2 linked regions of the Alligator mississippiensis genome follow. The protein of the gene in region 2 interacts with the protein of the main gene of each other region in a biochemical or structural test. Links are inferred from orthologs where the notes say so. Each region holds a gene or a part of one and is shown on either strand. Other genes may lie near its edges. The genes, in order: OIP5 and MIS18A.

Region 1 (8,474 bases), on a different chromosome or scaffold from region 2:
ACCTGTGCAGTGCCAGGACTGCACAGTACCAGCAGTTATTTAGTAAGTACTAAATTTCTGTAATATTGCTCAAACTCTGTCTCAGTGAACTCAAAACTACTAAATGCTTTAGAATCAGCTAGATTTCTTTCTGAATTACGTTCAGAGTCTTCCTCTTCACTGGCATGCCTGACTTACAGATAGAAAGTAAAGTAAGAAACAGCAGATCCCAATAGGCTCAATGCCAGTGTTTCTTAAAGGTACAGTTCTCCACAGTGTAGTTATACTCTTAGTTTTCCCCAAGTAGCAAAACTGAAAACTGATAATTTTTGTGAGTATTGTTGCTTTCTTTATATAACAGGTAATCTAAAATAGCAGTACTCAACCCTTTGGTCCTTGAGACCAAACGAGTGGTACAGAGCTGATCTGTGGGCTAATCAGACCCTGCACCTCAGGATCATGCCCACACACCCAGATCTGGACTGTCACCTCTGCCCAGCCCCACATACAAGGATCAGGGCCCCACATCATCCCTTCATCTGGCCCCACATGCCAAGATTGCCCCCCCCATGTGTCCAATCTAGGACATAGTGCCACAGCCCACCAGGCTCCCCATAGACCCATAAGGAGCCCCACAGGTTGGATGGCAAGGCACCAGGAGCCAGATATGGCCCATGAGCTGCAGCTTGAATATCCCAATCTAGAAGATCTAATGGTTCTTTCCAAGACCACCAATTCTATGGTCCCGATTGCAAATTCAGATAACATGGGAACAACAAAGAACTCTAGCAAGATTTAAGCCAAGGACATCAAATAGTTCCAGCCCCACAGGGATCAAGCTCACAGACCAGCTGCACACACCAGAGCCAGGAAGCAGGGTTGGTCTGGTGCAGGCACCTCATGCACTTAAGCAGCATGCAGTGGCCCTGGGCCAGGGCTCACAGAGCAGGCATGAGGTACTTAATGCATGAAGTGTCCCTGTCAAACTGGCCCTGTATGCTGGCTCCAGTGTGTAGGGTCAGTCTGTGGCCCTGATCCAAACTGGCCCCAGATATAGTGCACAGGCCCAGTCTGGAGGGGCACTGCAGGAAGCATGTGCTACAGATTGGCCCCATGTGCTCTGCCTGCATTCAGTCCAACCCCACACACCACATGCAGCACATGCTGGCCCTGGTCCAGGGTTCATACTGCAAGCAAGCCCAGCATGGGGCATGTACTGCATGTGGTGCCCATTCTGGACCAGCCCTACACACTGGCTCCAGCATACAGGGATGGTCTGTAGGTCCAATCCAGACTAGCCCAGAGCTAGTGCCCAGGGCTGGTCTTCTGTGGGAACTGCATGCAACATGTACCCAAGACTGACCCCCTGTGCTACATGAGGCACTGGGGCTAGTGTGTGCCACATGTGGTATGTGGGGATTGGCCCAAGACCCACAGACCAGATCATAGAGCTCCACAGGTCAGATTCAGCCCATTGACTGTTTAAATTAGTGGGGGGGGGGGGGGGGGTCAAAGATTCAAAGACACGTTCAGGCATGGGAGATGGCATGAGATGGAAAGTCTGATGGTTATTTATTTGAGATGAGGGCTACAGCTTTATAACAAACTAGCCAATTACCGGTCACAAATGACCGGGGAGAGGGGGCTGGGATGGTGTCCCACCACCTAACGCCCCATGCTGCCGCAGTTCTGCCTCTTGCAAGGAGCAGGGTGGGGGCCTCAGCTCCCCACCCTCTGTCCAGTCCTCTGCCTGGCTTTGGAATCACAGCGGTGCTCCCCCACGCTTGGAGCACTCCGATTGACTGTTTCTGTCAGCCAATCACAGCGTGAATAAAGCGTTACCGACAGACTTAGGCTTTTATATTAGAATATTTGCCATCATAGTTATATCAATAGGAGGAGGATGACATGTGAAAAACATTGCTTGCAAAAGCCAGGTGCATCTCTACCCTGCCTTCTGCCTGACTTCAGGCTAATGGGCTAACAGCCTCTCAGAAGTCGCTGGCGCAGAAGCAGTTATTCATTGTTCATTTTCAAAATTGTTCGTTTGCTGGTATATCTTATTTTCATTTGGTCAGGGAACATTCCTTTGCTAAACCCACATACTGAGTATAATACTGATCTTAGCCTAACAGCCAAGAAGCAGCCTTTGACACTATGCGACTCAGTCATAGGAGCCACATAAGCAGTCACTGTTGACTAGAGAGCTGTAAAATAAGCACCTTTAGGTAAACTGCAACAAGGACACTCCAGTTCAAAATCAATTTCAGTGAAGAGCCAGCATGGGTATCACTGGACTTGTACATCTGTTCTGGCAAAGCTCTAACTGTAAACCTGCTCCCAGCCAGAGGCTTATTCTCAGGGAACCTTAGGTTACCACCATGAGATAGTAGAACACACGGTAGACATGCACATTAACTGCTTTAAAATTGCTTCCCTAATTGTTCTGTCTAATAAATAAACAGTAAGTCTCTTTTGAGCAGCTTTGACTCCCTGTAAACAGCACTAATAGCAGATTCCCAAAAAGAAGACAGGGCAGGGTGACACCTTAGAGACTAAGCGATTCAGAGGCTTTTGTAGGAGGCATGGAAAATACTTAATAAGATGCTATGAATAGACTGCTGGATGCCAGTTATGTCTTCTCAAACACAGACCACATCCCCACTGGACCAAACATAATGAATTATAACATCTGGGGTTTATTCCTCTATTCTTCCACCAACAACTTACATACCATCACCAGCTTACAGTGCTTACATCAGCCAGATAAAGGCAATTCCTAGGCAAAAGAATGAACAGACATCTAGCCCAGAAACTTAATGAAAGCTGGTGGCCAAACACCTCAGCCTCCTCTGACACCTCACGACTGGCCCGAGGAGCTCTTCTTAAAACAACATTTTAAATTCCCACTTCAACATAATAATTGCAGCACAAGAAGTCAGCGGCAGGCAGGACTACCTCAGCCACTGTCTCAAAGGGGACTGGCGTTTCTTATCCCATTACCTGAACTGGCTGCTTCCTCTGGTGTCCCTCCAGCTGGGAGTGAGCTGCCTCCATCTCCAGGGAGCCAATCCATCGGCTGTCAGCTTCTCTGGGCAGCCCCCCTCTCCTCACCTTTCTATTTAAATACATCTTGCTTGTGTGTCATGGAATAGTACCCTGAACATTTATGTAATATTGCTCAAACTCTACTGCCTCTTCCCTGGCACACCTGGCTTGCAGATAGAAAGCACAGTAAGAAACAACAAATCCCAATAGGCCCAATGCCAGAGCTTCTTAAAGGCACAGTTATCCAGTTTCAGGGATACAGGCTGTAGCCTATTGGTCTCTATGCTGGCAAAAGGAATTATAACTCATGGCAGACTTTTGTTAGACCAACTAGATATTTGCAAAAAATTTTTTTACTGAAACCTGAAAGCTGACACCCTGGTTTCTGCCTATTGTTGTTCCAGATAAATCTGCATCTTCACAGAGCTCAAAGCTGCCTCGGCACAAGATCTATGAATCTAAGAGAAATTCCTTGCCCAGGAGACCAGTCCATCACCGCCCTCCTGTGAGAGATGAAATGTCATCACTGGAAGGAAACATAATTCAACATCCTGCTTGACTCCAGACAGCACCGAGATAAAATGGGCTGTTCTAACTTCCACCTAAGCCTAATTTGCCAAAATTAACTATTCCAGCCAGGAGATCTTGCACCACCTTCTGCTCTCCTGCGAAATACGAATTTTCATTTCCACCGCGGAGAAACTTTACAACCTTTTCCCTCTCCTATGAGAATAAAGACAGATGCTTGCAAATATCTAAAAGAGACCACCTCTGCCAAGAGTTCCGACCCCAGTTCTCCGCCGTGTACTTGCACCCATAGCTTTCCTGCCGCCGCGCCTGAGACCCAGGAGACAGCTCCCGCCTCTTGGGACTCGGCTCGAGGTGACCCCGGGCTCCCGCAGCAAGGACCTGCGGGCGCACCGCCGGCGAAGGAGGACCGCGGCGCACACCGGGGCTGAGCACTCGACGAGGCACCGGGGCCCGGCCCCGCGCTACTACCGCCCCGGCACCTACGAGGCAGGAACACCTCCCAGCTCCCCTCCCGGGGCCCCGCTCCCACCTTGAGATTAGCGCGGAGTCCAGCGACCTTGGCCACCTGTTGCAGCTCACAATACTTGAGCGACTCCAACGGGCGCAGGGAGAGCGGCTCCATGATGGCGACGGCCCGGTCCGAGCCGCACTGAATAATCCCTACGCCGCGCGTCAACCGTCCGCTTTGAATCCGGCGCTCAACAGCCCGTCCCCGCCCCCCGTTCGAACTGGCGCTGTCCGGCTCTCCCATTGGCAGAACTGCCACGAGAGGCGGGTGCCTTAGGCAAAGCTCCGACCAATGGGGCTCCGGCGGCGCGGGTTTGTTTTTTTTCGAACGGCCTGGACTGAAAGCCCCGCCCGGCGCTACATCCTCACGATCTGATTGGACAGCAGGATGACGACAGTAGAGGAGGACTCCCTCAGGCAAGCGGCGTGGGCGTGCGGAGACAGTAAGAGAGAGAGGGAGGAGTGAGGGGAGAGATTGAGGTGTGTGGCTGCCAATGCGAGTGCAGGGCTGGGAGGCAGGCACCCAATCGAGGGAGGGGAGGTGCATTCGAACGCGCGGCAGGAGCCGGGTGCGAGAAGATGGCGGTGCGGCGGAGGCTGCTGCAGCAGTTCTTCCAGGACCCTGAGATCGACGGTGCCATCATGGTGGAGCGGCCGGCGGCGGCGGCCCCCGCGGGCAGCGCGCGGAAGGCAGCGGCGGAGGCGAGCACCGGGGCGGCGGCTCTGCGGCGGCGCCGGTTGCGGCCGCAGGACTGCGCCGTGTTCCAGTGTCGGGGCTGCTACGCCGTGCTGAGCGACTCGCTACACCTGTGCGCTCAGGAGGAGCGGCGCCTCCGCGTCCTCGCCTGCTTCAGTGAGTGCCGGCGGGGCGAGGGCCCGAGCCCGGGCCCGGCCTCGGAGCCCATTGCCTGCCTCCTAGCGAAGCTCGGACTGTCCGGGGCACTGGGCTGTGCTCGCTGCGGGGCCGCCGGGCTGAGCGCTCCGGGACAACGACACTCCCCCTGGGATCTCGCGGATGGGTGAGCAGGCGGGCGCACCTGGCCCTGCGCCCGCTGTCGGGGCCTGCCTGGGACAAGCCAGGCTCATCCGTGCTAGTTGGCACGCAGGCTTCCTGTCAGGGATTGCCCTGATGAGTCAAGCCCCCTCTGGGACCTCTCCGCTGTCTTCAGCCTGAGCCCCCGGGATCCCAGGGTAAACTGCTTTGTCCCAGAGTAAACCTCTCCTCTGGTTTTAGCCTGCCCCAGGCTGGTGGCAGGTGCCTGGTGCCCCACAGTATGGTACAGGTGTATCCAGGTGGGAGTTAGCTGCTTCCTGGTAGCCCCCCTCCTCCTCTGCAGCAAGGCAGAGCCCATGAGCATCTAGGTCTCTCCTTCAGGGAAGAGAGAGCTTCAACAGATGCACTCCTCTTTTTACCAGGGACTCACAGCGGTTACTATGGAGCTGGTGTGCCTCAGCTGTGCCCTGCTAGTTGAGTCTGTGGTCTTAGCTTTCCCATGCACCCCTCCCAGGCAGGCACAGCTCCAGTTCTTATTTCACCATCTCAAAGTCTGTCTCAGCTGCCCAGTGATTTTATGCAGTGCAGTTATACAACAGCTGCGGGGGTTGGAAAGTCCTGCGCATCTTTATCCTGGTCCAGGTTGCCTTGTATGTCCATGTCCTTTAGGCGTAGGGCACTTTTTTGCTCTGTTTCTTTAAAAACGGAGCTATCCAGCTTCTTGATGCCATAGATTTTGTTGGCAAACAAGCCCCACTGGCCCCAGGAGGCTATTTTGGCTGCCTGGTATGGCTGCTCCCTGGGTGAGGATGTCAACCACAGGCTACTGTATGAAAAAGGTGATCACATCTGGAAGTGGCTCCAGCTGCTGTGCTATGTGCTGAATGCAATGCTGACAGCGTGAGAGAGGCACGCTGGGCCTGTCTGCTGGATTCACAAATTGGGTATCCCCGGTGGCTGTAGGCTTATGTTGGGTACCAGACTGGCACTTCTATCATTGCGTAGTAGTAGACTTTTGGGCACCTCAGTAGGTGTGGAGAGGTTTTGTGGACTGTGCTCTTAGGCCTGGGCTTTTGAAGTGCATCTTAAGGCTTCTTGGATCTGGCCATAACTTTCTCCTAAATCAACAGATGTTAGAAACATGGAGATGGATCAGTATGTTTCCATTAAAACAAAGATTAAACAAATGTGACTCCTCCCAAGCCTATATACAGGAAGTCCAGAACTCAGTTATCTTAAGGGGAAATGGAAATTTTAATGAATGATCTGTGGTATATGACTCTGGATTTGTCTTTCTCAGAAGTTACAGAAGATGTTGTTCTAGAAGATTCCTTAAGAGTTGGTATTGACGGGTCCCTCCTAGGATGGTAGGTATTTCAAATACTGTTTCTTGGTTTTGATACCAGTTTTCTGTTTGAGATGCTGACCTAGTAGAGCAGGTGAGGGTTATTGTGGTGCCTCTGACTTCAAACAAGTCATCTGGAGAAACATTTTTAAAATCACTAGCTTACTCTTGGATGGGCTTACAAAACTGACAAATACTTAGTTTGGTTTCGGACCTGCCTACTGTAGTCTCTTACTGAAAAAAGCCTTTGCAAATCTACAGCATACGTTCCATTCCTTTCTTCCCCTTTCACATGCATCTAGACATTTGCTATATTTGAAGTAGGGAGAACATTTGAACAATTCTAATATAATAAAAGCGTCTGTCTGTCACACTCCAGGACAACTGCGCATGCACTGAGAGGGCACGCATCAATTGGCTGGGAGGGTCTGGAGTGTTACGGACAGGGAGCGAGGTAGCTGCCGCAGTACCCCGGCCAACAACAGCCTGTGGGGGGTAGGTGGCAGGGAAGAGGGTTGGGGGGAGGTTTCCAGTGGCAGCTGGCAATTTGCTAGCTGTAAAAAGAAACGGTATCTCCCCCATCCCCCACAAAGTCTGGGGGGTTGTGTGTGATGGGGAGAGGGAGAGAGCGTATGTTTTGGTTCTGATACCTTTTTTTGTGCTGAAAGTGAACAACTATTTATGAATCAATTGGTATAAGCAAGTCTCTAGACCAGGGGTCAGCAACCCCCGGCATGCGTGCTGAGCATGGCACATGAGGCTATTTTGCTCAGCACGCCACATCAGCTCCGTACCAACGCGTGCACCCACGTGTCGGAGCGGGTGGTGGGGTGGAACCTGAGGCAGCGCAGCCCCAGTTTCTCGCCTGCTCCTGGCACAGAGGTGATAGCAGGGTTCCAGAGCCCGGCGCAGCTGTTTGCAGCCAGCCTGGGCTCTGGGCAGCTGCAGCAAGCAGGGGGCAGGCTGCAAACAGCTGCACCAGGCTCCATAGCTCCAGCATCAGCTCTGTGCTGGCGGTGACTGCACGGGCACCTTGGGCAGGCTCTGCTGCCCCACTGTCTGCTCTGAGTGCGCATGCACTCACCACCAGGATGGAGCTGATGCTGGAGCTGTGGAGCCCAGCTCAGATGTTTGTACCCTGCCAGCTGCTTGCTGCAGCTGCACAGGGTAGGAGGGCTGGGGGGCAGGGGCTTTGGAGGGGGCACAGAACTGGGGGGCAGGGGGGGCAAGGGGCACAAACAGGGCATTCTATGTACCCCTTGCCCTCATTTTGTTTTTCTGGCATGCCAGCACTCTGGCACCTTGCAAGGTAGGCATTGTGGTGTTTTTCGGCGCTTTGGCCAAAAAACATTGCCTACCCCTGCTCTAGACGATTAGTTCTCAGCCTTTTTAGACTCAAGGCACCCCTCCATGACTGTTATGAATTAAGCAGTGCTCCACTTCAAAACTAATTTATCACAGTTCTTACTTCCTTGCAGAGGGAATAGTAGTGGGAATGGAGGCTTTGCCAGGGAGGGAAAAGTCAGGGTACATTTTCACCTTGTAGACCAGAGAGGGAGACCCTGAGCCACGGGACCCTGGCTGAAAATCATTATTCTAGACAGCAGTGTTTCTGCACTACCAGTTCTGGAGTGAAAGGAAGGACATAATTTCAAGTTATTCAAAGCTCTGCAGAAAAGGAGATAATTGGCAAAGGCCTACATGCTCTATATACTTTTTTTTTTTTTTTTAATTAGATTTTATGTGATAAGAAATTGAGCTTGACTGGGATTGCTGCTTTTAAAGATGGGTGGCATACATTTCTGTTGTCTGCAAGCTTGGAGAGACTGCATAGGTTAAGTATTGTATTTAATTCATATTTGGACAGCTTTTTTAAATTACAAGGACTAAGAACTCTTAAACAAAAGTTGTATTCTGCAAAAGATGAGGGTGCTATTATAAGAAAGTTTCCTACCCAACATGAGAAATTTGTTTTTCTGTTTGCTTGTTTTTCCTTAAGACACCTTACACTGTTTTGCTGATACCCCGTAAGTCACATGTTTAATAGCATTCTCTAAATTAGGTTTTTGG
Region 2 (8,507 bases):
ATTTTACAGTTATCATTAATGTTGTCTTTTACAACCAAACAGATTAAAGGGTAACCTAGGTAGTTTGGTTTTTTAAAAATTGTTTTAGTGAAAAATGAGTACAACCAATTAATACTATTAGTAGAAGGGAAAAAAAAAATCTTGCCTTCATATCTGGATTCAGGTTCATCCATAGTAAAAGTATATTAGTTCCATGGCATTTAAGGGCAGACAATTTAAAAAGAGGAGGAGGAAAACATAAAGATTTAGACAAGAGTTTTATATTTAAATAAAAATCAGGTACCATTTGAAATATGTAGCTCTAATTCCATTTCAGGGATTCTGCCCACTATGTAAATCATTTGGGGCCTGATTTGACAAAGCACTTAAGTACTTGCTAAATCAGTCACCAGAATGCCTCAATAATTTGATCAGTTATGTTGATTCAGACTACATTTAAAACTCAATATTTGGGGAAAACAAAGATTATTAGTCTCCAGGTTACATTAATATACTTGGATTTGGTGCATGACACTTAGTTTACCATCAACTAAAAATAAATATCTAAAAGGTACAGGGATCTAGTTCCCCTGCTGTGCAGTATTTTAAATACAGGATTCATAGTTCAACTTGCTTTTAAGTTTTCATAGCACTATGATAGCTGTTATAATGCATTATGAAATGATAGAGATCACGATGATGAGCTAAAGAGGAATGCCAGATTAAAGAAATAAGGAAATAAGTAGCAAATGTGTATTCAATTTGTGGCTCTTCCTAACTGATCAAAATACAGCTTCTTTTTCAATAATATATAAAAATGCACAAAAATTTCAGTGCAAACCTTGTATTTCAAGAAGGAAAGATAACTGGCAAATCTGTAAGCATATTAATCTATTGTTATTCTACTGTACAAAATAGCCAGGAATATGTCAAACCATTTATCTGCATTTCAGAACAATTTCCAGTTAATAAAGAGTTCAATAAGCTGTCTTTCCAATTAGGAGTTAATACCAAAATATTTCTAGAATATACATTCTTTATACTAAATAAAATAATATTGTACCATTAGCATCAGCTGGTATTAGAACCCAATCAGCATATATTGCCCAATATATGTATTCCAGTATGGTCTATATTACAAAGTGAAAACACATGTAAAAGAAACTAGTCATCCTATTCTGTTTTCTAATGCTTCCCATAGTAGATTAGCTGCTACATGTAGTACTTACATTTATGAACCTTCAACATCCTTCCATCTACTGGAAATGGATCAAAATAGTCCCAATAATATTCATAAGACCAGTAATACTCAGATGAGTTTGTTTTGTTAGCCATTTCAGTAGTATATTTCAATCAGCTCTGCTCTGATCTGATACTTTGTTTCATTGTACTTTGGAGTTCTCAAAAAGACACTGAGTACCTGATGCCTATGTAAATCATTCTGGAAGACCTCACATCCTGCAGCTCAAGGACTGCTCAGATACTAAAAAAACTTAGCAGAAATTAATATCAGCCTGTGACAGACATTTAATACTAAACTTATACACAGAGGGGGTTAGCCTTGTTAGTCTGAAGTCAGGCAGAAGCAGTGGCATACCAAAGGGAGTGAGGCATGGGGAGGCCATGCCCCTGGGTGCCGGACTGGTGGGGCAGGGGTACTCAGTCCCCTGGTGGCACTTCCAGTTTTGCCACTGGTGATTCCTGGCTTGGCAATTGGCCGCCGGGCCCTGCTCCCACTTAGCGTCTGGCTGTTGGGGGGACCCTCCCTCCCCACTTAGCGATCGGCCGTGGATTGGGGGGGTGCAAATGGAAGATCCATGGTACACCACTGGGCAGAAGGCAGGGAAGGGTGGCACCTGAGGGTGCCTGTACATGAGCTGGGAGGCTGCTCCAGTACACTGTAATTACAGCACATCGGAGCAGACTTGATACCAGCTGAAGCATGCTAATTAGTGTGCTCCAGCCAGCCTCCACGTCTCATGTATCAATGTCCTCGCACTACAAAATGATGGCGGGGACACTTTAACTAAAACTTGTTCAACAAGCTTTAGATAAAGCACCCCTGCCACTATTTTGAAGCATGGGGATGCTAATACATGAGATGCTCTGGGTGCTTTAATTAGAGCAGCTCTCAGAGCCCTCTCCCTCACCCCCGAACCATGTGAAAATGTCCTGAGAGACTAACTAGTTCAGAGCAGCATGAACATTTGTAGGCAACAAACTACTTTGTCAGATGCGTACCTTCTACCAAATTTATACGTGTCATCTACTGTTTAGGTAGAGAAATATGTACTACTTCCCATACTGTTTTATATTGATACAGATGCAAGGTAGACAGTAAAAGAATGAACAAAACCCAAGCTAAATTATAACTCGTCACAATGAGTGCCTAGCAACAACGAAAGAGATATTCTTGACCGGCCAAATATAAAATATACTAAAAACAATACTGAATATGTCATATACAGACCCCTAAAGGACCTCATGAAACACTTCATAAACATAAGGAAGTATTGAAGCAACTATACATTATGTATGAAATATTAAAAATGTTTGTGTTTTAACACCCCTTTGGTTCTGCCAAAAAACAACATAAAAATAGAGCCCCGCCCCATCAGCCTAGAAGCAAAATAGATTCATTTGTGTGCTAATAAATTAGATTGAGCATGTATGTTTATGTTTGTGAAGGCACTTCAAAGGTTGCCAAAAGTAACCTTTGAAGTGCCTACACTAATATAAACATACATGCTCAATCTAATTTATTAGCACAGAAATGACTAACATTAACAGAGAAACAGACCCTCTATTAGTTTTTAATTCTATCCCTAAGGACTATGAGATGCACCATGGCTTTTCAAATCAGAGATGGCAATTTATTCAGATGCAGGTCCTGGAAAACTTCATTCTCAAAGGAGACAGTCTGGTAATAGGTTTAGTCACTATAAAGCATCTGTCTAAACAATGCCACATTTTTTTTTTGCTCTGGAGCAAAGGAAATACAGTGGAAGTAGAATCTCTGCTAGCATTTCCAAAACAAACAAACTGTAAAGGAGCACTAAGGGGTAACGCATAGCATGTGCACGTGGGTGCATGTGCACCCCGTGAGCATGGCAGTGCGCCCCCTGCAAAAAGGGGGTGCAGTCCCTGCCACACCGCCGCCAGCCCATGATCACCCCTGGTCGCGGGTGGTCACTGACCTCTGGTCAGCACTCGTCACCCCTCCCCTGGCTGCCGACAGTGCCGGTGGCATCTGTGGGAGCTCCCCACTCACTGCTGCCAGGCTCCTGCTGCTGCCAGCGCAGCCGTGCCCCCCCCAGCTGCTGGGGACACGCGCTGTTCACGGGAGCACTTATTTTTAATGCGGGCTGGAAATTAGAAATAGAGCAGTTGGCATCAGGTTAGTTAAAATTAACTCTAGTCAAGATCAAAATATGCATCGATCTCTCTATCTTAGATCCTTCTGTGATCCACTTCGCAGCGAAGTATCTGAGCACCTTGCACTCTTCGACACACACATTTTCAGAACACTCCCTGCAAAGTAGAGAAGTAGTGTTTGCATTTGGTTGTTTGAAAACTGAGAAGTAAAGACTTCCACACAGACCCTACACTGTAACTGGATGTCTGAAGTCCACTGATTTCAGCAGGAGTTGGGTACAACCCTTTGAGGATCTGGGCCTCAGTGACTGGTCCAGGGTCACCAAAGAAATCTGTGGCAAAACAGAAATGGAACCCCGCAGATCAGGATAGTTCTTGGTCCATTCTTCCTTCCAGTATTTTGGGGGTTTACAAGCATACCGTTCTCTTCTTAAGAGAACATAGTGTTCTCCCCTTGGCTTTGTGAAATGCCTGTATAAACCAGGGAGACGAATGAATTGTAAAGAAGCTGTGGTAAGACTGACTCTGAATAAATGGGTATGGCATATACAAAGTAGGAAACAGAAACCAGGGAGGGAAGTAATTGTTCTCCCTTTGTCCTTCTGCTAGCCAGGCATCTTCAGGTGTTGGGAGGATGCCTGGCTAGCAGAAGGATGGCGGCATCACCCACATGTGCCACAGCTTGGGCTGCCCCCATGCCTGGGCCAGGCGGTCCCGCTGTGGGCTGCACACAAACAAAATGCCTTAGTAGACCGGATCTTGCCCACCCCCAGTCTATGAAAATGCCTGGCAGCGCTGATGGGGTGTCTGCCCTGCAAACATGTGGAAGGTAGGACTTTTATTTGTGGGTGTGGGTACTTGTTATTGGGCCAAACAGTGTCACCGACTCTCGTGATTTTTAGCGTTGTTCTTAACTTTGGGAATTTTTAAAAAGTAGCTCTCTCTCATATATAATGTTATACATAGTGTGTGTGTGTATATATTATATAAAATGTTATATTATACAGTGTGTGTGTGTGTGTGTGTGTGTATATATATACACACACACTATGTATAACATTTTATATAATATATATATAAAAGAAAAAGCTACGCTTTTCACGTTCCCGAAGTGTGGCCTTTAACAACGACTGCCCAAAATCATGAGAGTTGGCAATGCTGAAAGGCGGGCGAAGTCTTTGGGTGGAGGCAATATCTTTTATTAGACCAAATAAATAAATAAAACTCAATGTTACTGGATCAACGCCCAGTCCAGCCCCTCGGGCATGCGCATACCAGCCGTTCCCTTGCACTGACGCCCGAAACCCCTTATGGCCCGAACTGCAAGGGCGCCGGTCACGTGACGGGCAGAAAAGGGGCGGGGCGTACTCCTGTCCACTTCCGGAAGGGGAGGCGGGGCTGTGCCGTGGGGTTGAGGCTGCGGGTGCGTTGCTTCCGCTGCCGGCGCTCGCTGATTGGCTGGGGAGTGCCAGCGGCCGTTGGCCGGGTGGTTGGCTATGGCGGGCGGGCCGTTTGTACCGCCGGGCGTGGCGCTGGACTCGCAGCTGTCCGTGCTGGGGCTAGACAGCAGCTGCGGGCCCGAGGCGGCGGCGGCGGGGCGGAACGGTGGGGGGGAAGTGGAGGAGGAGGGGCAGGAGCTGCCTATGGTGTTTCTCTGCGCCGGCTGCAAGCGGCCGGTGGGCGACACGCTGAGCTGGGAGGCCAACGACGAGGAGGGGTCCTGTGTCATGCTGCGCAGTGAGTCCTGCCCTGCATCAACCCCGTCCCCCTCATCCCTGTCTGCCCGACCGTTGGGGGGCGGTTGGTGACGGTTGGCTTTCCCTTGCAGATGTCACTTCCAACGTGCTGGTGGATAAGGAGCAGAAGCTGTCCAGCCGGCCCGGCGAGTACGGCTGGTGAGTGACCCCTGCGGGGGCCGGCTCAGGGGATGGCTACCGTAGGGGGCAGAGCCAGTTGGATACATTTGAGACCTCTTAGCTGTGCTCTCTGTTTGTATAAGATGTCCGCAGTGGGGGTGGATGCGGGAAGGCCAGAAGTGGGTATTTGACTAATCTTGGTCATCCTAAAAATTCTTCTCGACGTCTGCTAATTTAGTGATAAGTATTTTGCTTGTAGCATGATTGAAACGCTGCTCTGCTCTGGGTGCTCAGTGAATCTTGGGACCATCTACAGATGCACCCCCAAACACCTGGACTATAAGAGAGATTTATTCTGTTTCAGCGTTGACGCTATTGAAAGGTAAGACCATAGTTCAGGGACTGGCAAAGTCTGGCCTGCAAGCCGGGTCCAGTCGGCTGTGGACTCCAGCTCCCAGCCGCCCCTGCCTGCATGGCTTGAGCCGGTCTCCATGGTGACCCCAGCCGCACCTGCACAGGAAAGCTCAGGCTAGGGTTGTCATGCAGACCAGCCTGAGCCATGTTGGCAGCATGTGTGACAGAGCTCTTGGGATCTTGTGATGGGGGCAGTTTGCTCCAGAGCTAGGGCAGAGCCATGATCTGTAGCCTGCACACTCTGAGCAGGGGATTGTGGCTGTGCCCTGGCTCCAGAACAGGCTGTCGCTGCTTCTAAGAGCTGGGCCTGAGCCACAATCCCCTGCCTGCACGCCTCTGCCTGGAGTGTGCAGGCTGCAGATCACGGCTCTCCTGGCTCTGGAGCAAGCTGCCCCCATCCCGTGTTCCCAGCAGCTCTGGAGCAGCCCCCTGCGCTGCTCTGCCACACATGCTGTTGGTGCGGCTCAGGCTGGTCTCCATGACAACAACCCCAGCCTGCCCTTCTACAGGGGCTGGGGTCTCCATGGAGAACCGCCCTAGCCATGAGGGCAGGGGCTGCTGGGAAATGGAGTCTGGCTGCTGGCGTGGTCATTTTGCCCACCCCTGCCACAGTTCCTCTTGTCAGGTAAGCGTGCAAGTGTTTTTGCCTTTTAATTTGATTGCTTCACTGTCAGAAATGGAGGATGTTTCTCTATTCAGGAGTTTACAACACTCGTGAAAGGGTAGGGATGGTTACTGGTTGCTTCTCTGTACTCCTTTAGTTTAAGAAATGTATTTTCTGTTTTTGCTGTCTATGTTGGAATGCTCGATATATGGAAAGATTCTGCATTTGATGTGGGGTAATCCCTGATAGTTTCATAACTTAGGTGTTCATTCATGAAATAGTTCAAATACATCGAGTGTCATTACATACACAAGACTGGAATACGGTGTCTTGGCTGCAATCCTACCCAGAAGTCTGTGTATGTAAAGACCAAGTATCAAGGTATCAAATTAGACCTAGGTGAAGACAAGCCTTTAGATATGTGGTTCTCAACCTAGGTGCCATGTGATCCTTTTAAAGGTGCTGTGGGGCACTGCAGTGCTAGCAAAGTTAAGTGCACAAACACCCACACATTTCACAAAATAAACCCAGAGATTTAAAATAGGAATCCAGTGTCAAAAACCTTCTGACCTGGTGTGATCTTTCTGTGTGTGTTGCAACAGAAGAATTGCTCTTTCAGTCATTTTTCTCTAGTTAAAAACTGACTGATATTCATTTTTTAAATAGGGTACCACTTGATTCAGGTTATGAAGGGATGTTTCGAGTCTTAAAAATGTTGAGAACTACTGCTTTGGAGGAAATGCGTCTTAACTACCCGTCTAAGGACAAAGTTAGCATGCTGAAAACTGGGTGAAGAAATACACCTTTTGGCTTCCTTGGGCTTAAATCTGGAAGGTCAGGATTGATATACCTACAGCATTAAAACCTGGCTTTCTGTAGTGTTATTAAACAGAAGGTTTTAAAATATTTTTCAGTAATTAAATCTTGGATCAATTATGTTAGCTCTTTGAATGATGTTGCTCTTTGTTCCTGTTCTCATTAACTTAGGGATTGGTTGGTTAGGTGACACTTCCGATTCAGAAGTTTGAATAGCGTCATCCACTTTTTTTGTTTTTACATGTTTTTATTCCCCCTGCGCTATGTTATCCCTGTAGTTCATTCTCTTTCTTCATGTTAATTTGTATCGGTGACAATAGGGAATTCTTGTATGCTTGTTGTATAATAGGTCTACAAAACTACATTTTCTTCTTGGCTTACAGATTGACAAACTAGCACCATCCTCTATTTCATCTAATTGCATTGACTGGTGTTATAAAAATGCCAGGTATGTGTGGTTATTTCTCATTTTGACTGAATATTACATAATTAAATATTTTATATCAGTTACATCCTAGGATCATCAGAAAAGCAAGCTGTAACTGAGGAGGAGCCTTTAACTCTTCAAAGTCGAGGTAGCTTGGAAGAGGCACTAGAAAGGGTAAGATTTAGTTTTTAAGCTGGTAAAAGTTCATTACAACTGTGAAAACATCCATACAGTGTCTCTACATAACTGCTTCTAATTTCAGCCAGTTTCAGAAAGTTAGATGTTCAGAAAACTTTCCTCCCAAGAACAGTTCTGACAAAAACAAAAGTTGCTAATTAAATGCATCTCTGGATTTCTGGCCACCTTTCTTTATAACGAGGAAGAGCACTTGTCTCCAGAGGTTCTGGTCCCTAAGTTTTCCATGCCTTAAGAATTCACGTTCATATGTAAACCAACTTTAAAATCTTCTGATATACAGAATTACAAAATAGAAACTATAGAAATGGGGTTTTTTTTGTAAATGTGACTTCTGAGTTTATGTAGAATTATGGAGGAACTAGGGGGATAAGCTGTAATTCAGATCTACTCTGAAAGGAGGCTGTATGTAAGGGGGAAAAAAAAGTAGTGAAATTGTGTTGCCAAGTGTCCAGATGCCTCTAGGATTGTGGTGGAGGCAATCATAGGTTGTTTAAATCAATTGCACAAAGCTTTGAACTTTCTTTTAGATGGAAAAAGATTGAAACAAAAGTATCTAGACCATAAATGAATTGCTTCTATTTCTTAGGTTGTTTCTGACACCTTGAAAGCAACCCATAAATGAAATTGAAAATAAAATATTATATTTTTTATCAGTGAAATACAGCCTAATTTCCTCTCTCATAGTTCAGACTTTCCTCCTTATACAGCAGTGGGACATTTAACCACCAAGTTTTCATTTCGTATGTATTGTCCCAATATCTAATAACTGTACAGAGAACCCTACAGTCCATCTTCTTTTGCTGATAAAGCATTGTTAAATAATGATTTGGAAATCAGG

The links.
Region 1: the proteins of MIS18A (region 2) and OIP5 form a complex in vitro, tested with the Homo sapiens proteins (3 studies listed by BioGRID). The link is inferred for Alligator mississippiensis from reciprocal best matches to the Homo sapiens genes MIS18A and OIP5.

Annotation. Positions count from the first base shown.
Region 1 is NC_081825.1:239,937,147-239,945,620, forward strand, and holds the start of OIP5 (protein Mis18-beta), read left to right. Parts: upstream 1-4,413; 5' UTR 4,414-4,644; coding exon 4,645-4,918; intron 4,919-6,359; coding exon 6,360-6,426; intron 6,427-8,474. Other genes in the region: NUSAP1 (nucleolar and spindle-associated protein 1), read right to left, coding at 4,088-4,309. UniProt on the Homo sapiens protein: Required for recruitment of CENPA to centromeres and normal chromosome segregation during mitosis.
Region 2 is NC_081824.1:291,156,674-291,165,180, reverse strand, and holds the start of MIS18A (protein Mis18-alpha), read left to right. Parts: upstream 1-4,788; 5' UTR 4,789-4,850; coding exon 4,851-5,091; intron 5,092-5,182; coding exon 5,183-5,249; intron 5,250-5,469; coding exon 5,470-5,592; intron 5,593-6,894; coding exon of another isoform or gene 6,895-7,021; exon of another isoform or gene 7,022-7,062; intron 7,063-7,551; coding exon 7,552-7,645; intron 7,646-8,507. Other genes in the region: MRAP (melanocortin-2 receptor accessory protein), read right to left, coding at 1,209-1,314. UniProt on the Homo sapiens protein: Required for recruitment of CENPA to centromeres and normal chromosome segregation during mitosis.